Linked DNA regions of Caenorhabditis elegans. The protein of the gene in region 2 interacts with the protein of the main gene of each other region in a biochemical or structural test. Each region holds a gene or a part of one and is shown on either strand. Other genes may lie near its edges.

Region 1 (3,629 bases), on a different chromosome or scaffold from region 2:
TCATTCATGACGCTTCCTGTGATTCTTGTCGCAGTTTCTTTATATTTGAACCGATATTCTCAAGAATTGATGAACGTTGCAGTGGATTGTATTGCATTGCACGGAATTGTAGAATGTATTGTGATACTATCGGTTCACAAACATTATCGAAATGCCATGAAATTAATGATCAATCGGTGGTATAACCAACGTAAGAACTTTTTTCAAAATGAAATTTCGAAGCAGTTTAAATTATCATCAACTGCAACTTTTTTCAGCGTGTAACACTAAAGTCCAATCAATCCCAGTGCAGGTTACTTCCGGGTATACATCACGCTGTTGAATGCGACGGCGCAATCCGCAAAGCGTCGGCTGCAGTAAATAGAGAGTGAGGAAGTTGTACATGCGTACTGTACACTTTTCTTTGTAGAAGATTTAATTTTTTAGTAATTGTGAAGGAATGAATATGTACGTTATATAACGCATGTGTAGTCTGAAATTGATATTTGAACAACGGAACTTTTAAACCCGTCTGTTCCGTTTGCAGCCGACATCGAACAAGTTTTGCGAGAGACCAGGTATACTCTACTAACTTAGACAATTACAACAAAAAAATACGAAAGTTTGAATAATTTATTGGCATGCTTAACGTTTAACGTGATACACCCCTCTTTCCACATACGTACATTCTTGTAAATGGGTATGCTTGTGCGCCACACTGGTACTTGTCTAAATCTCCATTGGTGAAATAGTTTTTCCATACAGCGTAATCATTTGGCCCCACCACCCAGTTTGGTTGCATAATAAATTGTTGAATACAGATCGTGGGCCCTCTAATTTGTTCTATGAAACTTAATTCTGAAACGTTTTACTTACGGCCAATTCAGGTTATCAGGTTCGTCACGTCCCCATTTGAATCCTCCATTGCCAGTTGTGTCCCCATCGGTCCAGGTGTAAGTTGCATATGGTTCACAGCTTGCAACTTTACAATTCGGGGTGTTAGTTGCTCCGAGCCAAAGCCCGGCAATTTGGCCGCCAGCTGCGGTGAGCTTCTTCAATGCTTCAGAGGCAACTGTCATACGCTCATTGTCATTTTGGAATCCGGTTAGAGTAGCTCCCGACGCAGAACAAGCAGCTTGAGCCTGTGGCTGAGAGAAATACCCATTTGTTACTCCACTATGAACAACCTGAAAACATGTATGTCATCTTTAGTAAATGAAGCCAAAAACTAACATTAATACACCAAACACCATTAGGTCTTTCAAAACGAAGCCATCCTTCATCGCACTCAGGTCTTGGTGGGGGTCTTGGTGGTCTATGTGGTCTATGTGGTGGTCTATGGGGCCTGTGTGGCGGTCTATGATGGCCATGCTCTTCGGACGATGAGCTAGACGAAGACGAAGAGTGGGAGTAATAGCCTCCCCCACCTCCACCACCTCGCCCTCCACCGTCAATAAAAATTGCAAGCGTAGAAGTTGCAAAAAGGAGGAATAGAATAGCAACCCTCATTTTTCTGACTTTCCGGCGCAGAAACTCTTGCTTTTTGTAGGAAACAGGCGGTTGGTAATAAAAAATATAATAAAACGGCATCACCAAACCGGGATTGTAAAAAAACAGAAAATTGTGGTTAACATATTTGAGTTTAGTTTGCATCTTACAATTAAAATGTTTTTCAAAATAATTTTGCAGTGAACTTGAAGAAGAAAATTAATTACAGTTTAAAACCATTAGGTCTCTTGAACTCAAGCCATCTACTTTCACTAGAGCGGGGGTCTTAGAGCCTTTTTCTATGTCGATGTTCTTCTGAGCTGTCTCCAGATTTCACAGGATTTTTGTGCCGAAGGAGAAAGGTAAAACAGTTAATACTTTAAAACAAAATGTTAACTCTTGGAGTGTTGTATTCACATTTGAACTATATTGAATGTATTTCTCACGGTATATAGGATGTTGGTGACTCGAAATGAAGAAAGCGCGGGCAGATATGTAAGTCTCAGAACATTGACATGGGTTAGAATAAGTTACAAATCCTGATAGTTTAATCCCGTAGGTCAATGCCAGTACACTTAACATACATTATTCATCTCTTACTTTAGTGTAATCTGTGACTAAAATTTGGTTTCTCTTCTTTTCTCTCTCTCTCTTTCTCACTCATTCAAAAGTTCCGCGAACACAGGGACTGAGGAAGTGATTGATACCACTCTATTTGATAACAATTTGACACAACTAATTCAACCTATTTTCAACTTTTCTCTTCGACCATGACACACCATATTTGTTACTTGGTAATTTTGAACTTATTCTTCCTTATTATTCCAATATGGTTCCTATCAATCGGCTTTAAAAACCAAGGAAAATGTGAGAACCCGCTTCTTCCATTATGGCTTATTTTTGTTGGTATTTTAATTATTATTGATAGAATTATTTATTGGAAAATTCTATTCAATAAAGTGAAGAAACTCATGGAGGATGTTCCGCAAGATGGAAGAAAGAAAAACTGGTTCGAAAATTTTTGGTGGATATCAATAAAATATGCGTTGGAAGGAGTCATGTTAATAGCGTAATTGATTTCAAATTTACAAATGTCTAAAAACTAGAAAAGTTTCAGGGTTGCCCTTGGAGCTATTTGGAGCTATGAACAACTCGGCCGACCGATTTATTTATGCAAATCTTCTGTTCTTTTCTCGGTTTCCGGATTTTGTATTATTGCTTCCATAACTTATATAGTCTCCTTGATAGGGACTATTTATATATTTTGCATGAATTGTAAAGCAAAGTTTGATAGAAAAGTTACAATGTGGTTGTATAGTTATATTCTATAATTTAACATATTGTATAATTTGAAAATGCATCTGTTTTGCCGACATGACATTGTTTTTACAAGCAATTAAAAATAACACTTAATTTTTAACAAAAACAAAAGGAATAGTTTTTTTTGTTCAATCACAGCTCTCGTTTTCTGCTAAAAATCCATAAAAAAATTTCTGAAGATCGTACAGACAGTATCACCCATTAGTACAGTCTTCATATGTAAACCAATAAAATATAATAAAATCATGATTTCATTTAATAGAGGTATGAATCATGCAATGATTTCTTAATATTCACATAATACCTCCACATTTTGAACTGTCTCTGCAGTTTTTTGCGATAAGGGGAAAAGTTGCAATCGCGATAAGAGTCATCGATAAAGGTTGGTAAAGGTATAAATTCTTTATTGATTCAACTAACTTCACAAATAAAATATGCCCTCTTACAAACTGACTTACTTTGATGCTTGTGGGTTTGGAGAGTCAGCACGAATGTTATTCCATCTTGGTGGGGTACCATATGAGGATGTTCGACTGCCGACGATCAATGCTGTTCCGGGATTTCAAAGTGACGAATTTTCAGCGTTGAAAGACAGTGAGTCAAACTAATAGCCCACTGAGCATAGTCCACCTTTAAAGAAACATGAGCCCTTCCACTTTTCGGCGGAAAATTCATATTCAATCAGAAAAAAGTTTTGCTAGGAAAGGTTTGGAAAGTTGTGGAAAAACCGATAAATTTTTGTGATTTTCTCGATTTTTCTGAACATTTCGGGAAACTTCTTGAAAACTTAAAATAATTTTAGAATCATCTGGATATTTATGGAGTTTTCAAGAAACTCCTAG
Region 2 (6,607 bases):
AGAAATAAAACATTGCTCTAAAAATTAAATTAAATTAATTAAAGGTGGAGTAGATTCATAAATTTTTTCGCTCTAAACGACAGAAAATAACCGAATGTAACTGTAAAAAAATTTAAAAAAATTTTCTAAATGTTTTAATGATTTTTTCAATTTTGAAAAAAATCTAAGAAACGGCCGAATTAAATTTGAATTCTCGCGCAAACGAGTGACGTCATTTTTAATATTTTTTCGTTTTCTGGCTGAATGCATTTGTTTTTCATGATTTTTTCTTTAGCATTTGATTAGAAACACCGTTTGTCAATTTTTAAATTACTTTTCCGTAAAGCGGAAATTTCAAAATCAACCTAATAATCGACAATTTTAATATTTTTTATAATATTTTTTTAAAGAAAAGTGTTCGAAAAATTGACTAACAGAATTTTAACTCAAATGCAGAAGATGAAATCAAGGAAACCTGGTAAATTAAGCCAGAAAACGCGAAAATATTGAAAATGACGTCACTCATTTGCGCGGGAATTTAAATTTAATTTGGCCGCTTTTTTTAATTTTTGCAAAGTTGAAAAATCATAAAAAATTTTGAAATTTTGAAATTTTTTTTGAAATTTTGAAAATTGTTAGCAATATTGAACAGTTATATTCGGTCATTAGGGTCCACTTTTTGTCAAAATTTTAATTACTTGAAACTAAAATTTTTTTAAAAAAATTTTAAAAAATTCCTTGAAACTTGATCTCTGAAAATAACAATTCCTGTACTGGAAATGAAAAAAAAAACACAGAACAATTTAATCACAACATTTATGATTCGTCCTGAAAGTAGAAAAAAAAACAACCGATTTGACAAGAAATGGAGCACTGCAGCCACATTGCTCAGCGAGAATTATATACCCAGTAAGTTTGCGTCTTTTGATAAAAGAAGTATGATATTCAATAGGAAAAAAAAAGAAATGACAAAAAAAGAGCTGAGAATATATAATCATAATATTCAACAGAAATTCTACACAAAACAACTATCAGGTTACTTTTCAAATTCTTCGAGAAATTTTTTCGATATTATAACACCGATTTGTTTTTGATTTGACCTACATAATATGACCCTCATAAATGAATGTTTGACCAGAGAGAAACCGTGGAGCGATGGATGGGATACCTTCTTGTGGGTTTAAAAAACGGGGGGAAGTGAAAAGAAAAAATACAACAATAACAGAGAGTGAAAGAAGCTCGAGACCCGAATGCAACGCAAAGAAACATTGAAGTTTAAGAGGGAAATTTAAAATGCTACTACATGACCTTGGTAAAATTGAGAAGACCTAACGAATGACGACTAAACAGTTTTCTTATCATCCTTCTTATCCTGATGCTCCTCGCTTTGCTCTTCGTCGTTTTGCTCGGCGTCTGAGACATCGGGGTTGTTGTACTCGGCAACTAGAACTTCGGCAACTCCCCGGCTTTCGAAGCATTCCAGTATGTGAGACATAACTGAAAATTGTTTTTTTTTCTTTAAGTTTTGTATTCCCAAATTGGAATTTTCACAGGAAAATATTTTTCAGGTTTTTCGGTAACCTTTCAATATAATTTCAATACTTACTTTTTGCTAACCGCCTTTCCATTGCCGGATAATGCTTATAAGCCAAAATCGGATGGGCTGGATCTTTCGATAATGACTCGTGTAGGGCTTTCGTCAGTGACTTTGGTGTACTGTAGAAATTCATAAGGGTCTGGAAAGTGGATGGACGTAGGATGCAGCATTGTCGGAGCGGGAGAATGATGTCGTCATCGTCAAAGTCAGATCTGCCAAATGCTCGACCATGGTCGAGATGGATCGCATAGGAAGGAAGATCGTTGAACACGTTGAAGGATTCGAAGTGATGACGGTCTTGGTTTCCTGGATGTTTGTAGTTTAGTCTTTGGTTAATAATAAAATGTTAGTAAACTTGTGGTAAATGTGCACCCGACATTGAACGAGGTCCATAAAAAGCACTGTGAGCAGCAAATTCTATATTGTACAGTTGCTGTCTTTCAATTACTCTCCTCATACAGAACAGTTATGAAACTTTAATACTCGTAGCACTGTCAGAAATACGAAAAAAAAATTCCGTACAGTTATTCTATATTTACCATCCATTCGGAGGGTGCAAACACCACCGGTTTTTTATGTTCAAAATTTGACAACTGCAAATTCTTACCTATTAAATAATCCAAAATATGAATATCAACCAGATCAAGTAACCTTCTTCCATGAGCATATTGTCGCTTGGTTTTCACCTTATCCGTGCAATAATTCATACTCGACTGCCATTCAGCTACTTGATTCTTTTTCGAGTAGGTTCTGAAAACAGTCTGCTAGCTATTTTATTATCCATCGGCCTTCAACCTACCGTCTATACGGACTCCTATTATGCTTCCGAGGAACTGCTGACTCGTCGGGTAAGAACACTTGCACACTGCCTTCCTTCATATCAGGAAGACCGCAAATTGCATGTGTCGTGTCGCAGTAATAATCGCATCGTGACACGAAGCAAAAGTTTTTGGCTGGAATTATTTTTATAAAATTGATGTGGTGAACAGGTTTGGTGTCTTGATGTCAACTGTACCTGGAGAGAAGAAGAAAGTCTTCTTGAGTTTTTTCTCTGCTTTTTCGAACAGCTCAGTTGTCATATTGAGAACTCGTCCAACGGTGGGGATTGCTCGTCGGAAGCCGAGCACTCTGAAATTCAACTGACCGATTTAAAAAAAAAAATTGATAACCATCTCTAACAAAAACAAATCCATTATTTAATCCACTAACCTGTCTAAATGGAAAGTTGCGATTTCTGCATGATGTCGTTCAAAATCACTGAAGTAGAAATGATTCGGATCCGATTCATAATCGCGTCCAAATCTGAAAAAGAAAGAAAACAACTATTTTCCGGTGTTCTCTGTTCATCAAACCTCATCGGCTTAAACACGGCCTGCTTATCGTTTTTGAAGGTGAACACAAATTTCACTTGAGTGCCTCCATCCATAATGTGCACGTGTTTGATGGGACTTGTGTTGAGATCGTGCAGCAAGTTGTCAATCATTTGATCATCCGAGTACACCGAACAACTTCCAATGTTTGAGTAGAACCTCTCCCAGTTGTCATCTTCCGGCACATTTCTCCTGAAACAGTGATGAGATTTTTTTTTGCTGGCAGCTGGTGTTAAAATTTTCATTTTCATTTTCAATTTTTGAAATTTCAAAATATAAAACTTACTGTTCAGACTTCTCCCAGAACTTTGAAAGCGTGATGTTCTTCTTGCACTCGTTCTGCCTTAACTGATCAAAATCTACATTTTTAGTGAGATCATAAAGTTTGCGTAAAGTGATTTTGTTAGATGAAAACAAGAAGTTGAATGGATCACTAAGATCCTTCTCGCCAAGGCTTGGAGGAATTGGCTGGTGTGGTAGACTATTTTGTCCGACTGGAAACAAGTCGGGACTCTGGTGGCCTACAGCTCGTGCTTCGTTTGATTGAGGTCCTTGTTTCCATTCTCCTGAAAATGGATGCAAGATTATTTAGGAGAAACCTTGTGAATGGTTTGTTTAAAACTATCAACTTAGTCATACAGGCCCAGAGTTTAATAAATATAGTTATCATAAGAACTGTTAGAAAAGAGAGATAATTGAAAGGTGGAGTAGCGCCAGTGGGGAAATTGTTAACAACTATTCCTAAAATGCCGAAATGATCGAATATCATAATAAAACTTTTCAAAAATGTTTTCTAAATTTTTTTATTTACTGTCAAAAAGTGGCAATTACTCAGTTTTTGCCACTTATAATACTGGAAGTCGACCAAAATTATTTTTTCCTACATTTTTTACGCTTTAATTTTGTTTTATTTATTAGGATTTAAACATTGCAGGGGTCGGAACATGCGACGTTGCTCCAGATTTCACCAAAAGCTCATATTTTTCAAAACTGTGGAAATTTGCCAAAACTTTGATCGGAAATTATAAAAAATCTAAAAATGTTTTGGAGTGTTTTATTATGATATTCGGTCTTCTTGGATCATTATTAGTGTAGTTAGACAATATCCCCACTGGCGCTACTCCGCCTTTAATATTATAAAGTTCGAATAGGCCTAGTAAAAATATTATCAAAATGGGTAAACTACGAAAATCTATATATGTAGAACGTTTCAGACTTATTAAAAATTGCAATCAAATTTTTGGCAAACTGCCAGATTTTCAAGAAAATACAAAGTTCATAAACATTTTTTTGTAATTTTTTCCAACGTGTCATTGTCAAAAAGTTTTCTACTACTTTTTTAATACTTTTCTAGGAACAATATAAAAACTTTTGTGGAAAAGTGTTGATTAAAATAGTATTCAAAGATGTCTAAAGTTTTTCCATTTTTTTCGGAAATTGAGATTTGATCTAAATTTTCATATAGACAATAAAGACAAAATTGTCACAAAACTCCCACATGTTATAGGCCACATTTAGGCATAGTTTCTCTCTTGTTTTATCGATTGCTATCGCCACTATTCCTTTCTAGCGAATTCAAATAATCATTTTCAACCAATAAACAACACATATACAATTTTAGAACTTACTTTCATAGTTGTCCTTGGAAAACGAGATTATAACCAGTGTAGCCGCAAAAACTCCGATCGCCAAAGTGAATAATCGCTTTATATTGCACCGCATGTCTTTCTGGACTTTTCTCGTCTCACTTCTTGCTCTTTGCTGGTTTCAGCTTCATCAAACGCCGGCTCCCAGTTTTGTGACACTGCAAAATGAGCATTTATGGGGTGAGGTTCATAAGCTATTATAGATAAATAATGGGGTAGAATGAGGAAACAAGAGATCAAAGCGATTAATTAATAATTTACTCCAGCAATATATACCAATTACAATTCAATTCTAGTCCTATAAATTCAATTAAAGTTTCTTCTAATGGACAGAAGAGGGCAAGTGGGGGGAGAGAAAAAGAAACTGCCACACTGTTTTCGAGAAACATCACCACACGCACGCCATCAACCACCTCCTCCTCCTCCATCCACTCCTAAACTGACAGACCCGCACACCTTGTATATTGTAAAAACGACAAAACATTGGAGAGGCGAAGAGGCTGTAAACATCGGCGAATGATGTGGAGGGAAGGGCCTGGGAACGTCAAAGGTGTGTGTGGTTCGTTTCTTCGGCAGAGTCGCTGTGTGTGTTTGCTCGTAAAGTGCTGGGAAGCAAGAAATTGACGGAGGATTGCCCACCTTGCGTCACCGAACTTATTGGTGGTAAATGGGACTTTTTGGAAAATTAGCTGGGTCATCATTTGGGATGTGGTCAGGGTGGAGAACGAGATTGAGATTTTTGATATCCCACATCTAGAAATGATCCGTTATATGTATATTATGAGCCTTTAATAAGAGATGAGCACCAAAATTTGATTTATTATCCGTTTAAAAAACAGAAAATTTGGTTCGCTTTTGAGAATATTTTATGTAGAAAATTAAACAAAAACTGTAAGTTTGACAGGAAATTTCAATTAGCGACGAGGAAAAATCAACGACAATACTTTTACTAAATAGTTTTTTTAATTGGAAAAACAACACTTATTTTATCAAAATTTATAAATCGGACCAATTCAAGTTTGTTAATTTGTTACTAATTTGAAAAAAAACTCATAATTAAAATCAATTTTGCTCCCATGCAGATATATTTACTGCTCAAATAAACTAGGCTTAAACGTTTTACGATCAAACGTGTGGTTTTACATAAGCTTTTAAAATCTTAAAGTGGAGTAGCGCCAGGGGGAAATTGTTAAAAACCATTCCTATGGTGCCAAAATAACCGAATATCATAATAAAACTTTTCAAAAAAGTTTTCAAAATTTTTTTATTTACTGTCAAAAAGTGACAATTACTCAGTTTTTGCCACTCATAATTTTGGATTTCGACCAAAAAAAAATTTGTTTTTCTGCATTTTTTATATTGTAATTTTGTTTTATTTATTTGGATTTAAACATTGTAAGAGTCAAAACATACGACATTGCTTTGGATTTCCTCAAAAGCTCATATTTTTCAAAAATTTGTCAATTTTCCAGAACTTTGTCCGGAAAAAAAAGGAGTGGTTGATTATGATATTTGGTCGTTTTGGATCATTATAGGTTTATTTAGAAACAATCCCCACTGGCGCTACTCCACTTTTAAACATTGCACATAGAGAGAAAAATATGAAAAATAAGTACGAATCTGAAATTTCAATATTTCTATTTTAATTCCAAATCTGATTCAAAATTTAAAGATTTTTTCTTTCTATTTTCTAACCATAAAATAAAAACATTGGATCAAGAAAAAATAATCTTTCTCAAATTGTAGTCAGAATGATGATATCAGAGAAAAACAAATTTCAAGCAAAACAAAAACTATATGATAAGAAAGATGAAGAAAAAAATTGATTACACAGTTAACTGATGTTTAAACTTTTTAAATATAATGCCAACTAATTCTAATTATTGAATGTTACCCAAGGTTCAAATGATCTGCAATTGCAAAAGGTTACTTGGTTCAAGCATTCGGTTTCAAATGGTGTGGAACTTTTTATTATTTAGTCACCTGCAAGTGCATGTGGGCGGGAGATTGATGTA

The links.
Region 1: of the proteins of famk-1 (region 2) and clec-233, one has a biochemical effect on the other in vitro, tested with the Caenorhabditis elegans proteins (one study listed by BioGRID).

What each region holds. Positions count from the first base shown.
Region 1 is NC_003283.11:16,231,864-16,235,492, reverse strand, and holds clec-233 (C-type lectin domain-containing protein), read right to left. Parts: upstream 1,570-3,629; coding exon 1,213-1,569; intron 1,167-1,212; coding exon 856-1,166; intron 813-855; coding exon 632-812; 3' UTR 595-631; downstream 1-594. Other genes in the region: srh-98 (Serpentine Receptor, class H), read left to right, coding at 1-190, 258-322; F21H7.3 (Serpentine Receptor, class E (Epsilon)), read left to right, coding at 2,238-2,536, 2,585-2,798; gst-22 (glutathione transferase), read left to right, coding at 3,222-3,381.
Region 2 is NC_003284.9:15,208,510-15,215,116, forward strand, and holds famk-1 (Extracellular serine/threonine protein kinase CeFam20), read right to left. Parts: upstream 4,751-6,607; 5' UTR 4,724-4,750; coding exon of another isoform or gene 4,691-4,723; 5' UTR 4,669-4,690; coding exon 4,575-4,668; intron 3,513-4,574; coding exon 3,233-3,512; intron 3,139-3,232; coding exon 2,929-3,138; intron 2,879-2,928; coding exon 2,786-2,878; intron 2,705-2,785; coding exon 2,592-2,704; intron 2,530-2,591; coding exon 2,376-2,529; intron 2,327-2,375; coding exon 2,184-2,326; intron 1,883-2,183; coding exon 1,586-1,882; intron 1,477-1,585; coding exon 1,322-1,476; 3' UTR 780-1,321; downstream 1-779. UniProt on the Caenorhabditis elegans protein: Golgi serine/threonine protein kinase that phosphorylates secretory pathway proteins within Ser-x-Glu/pSer motifs.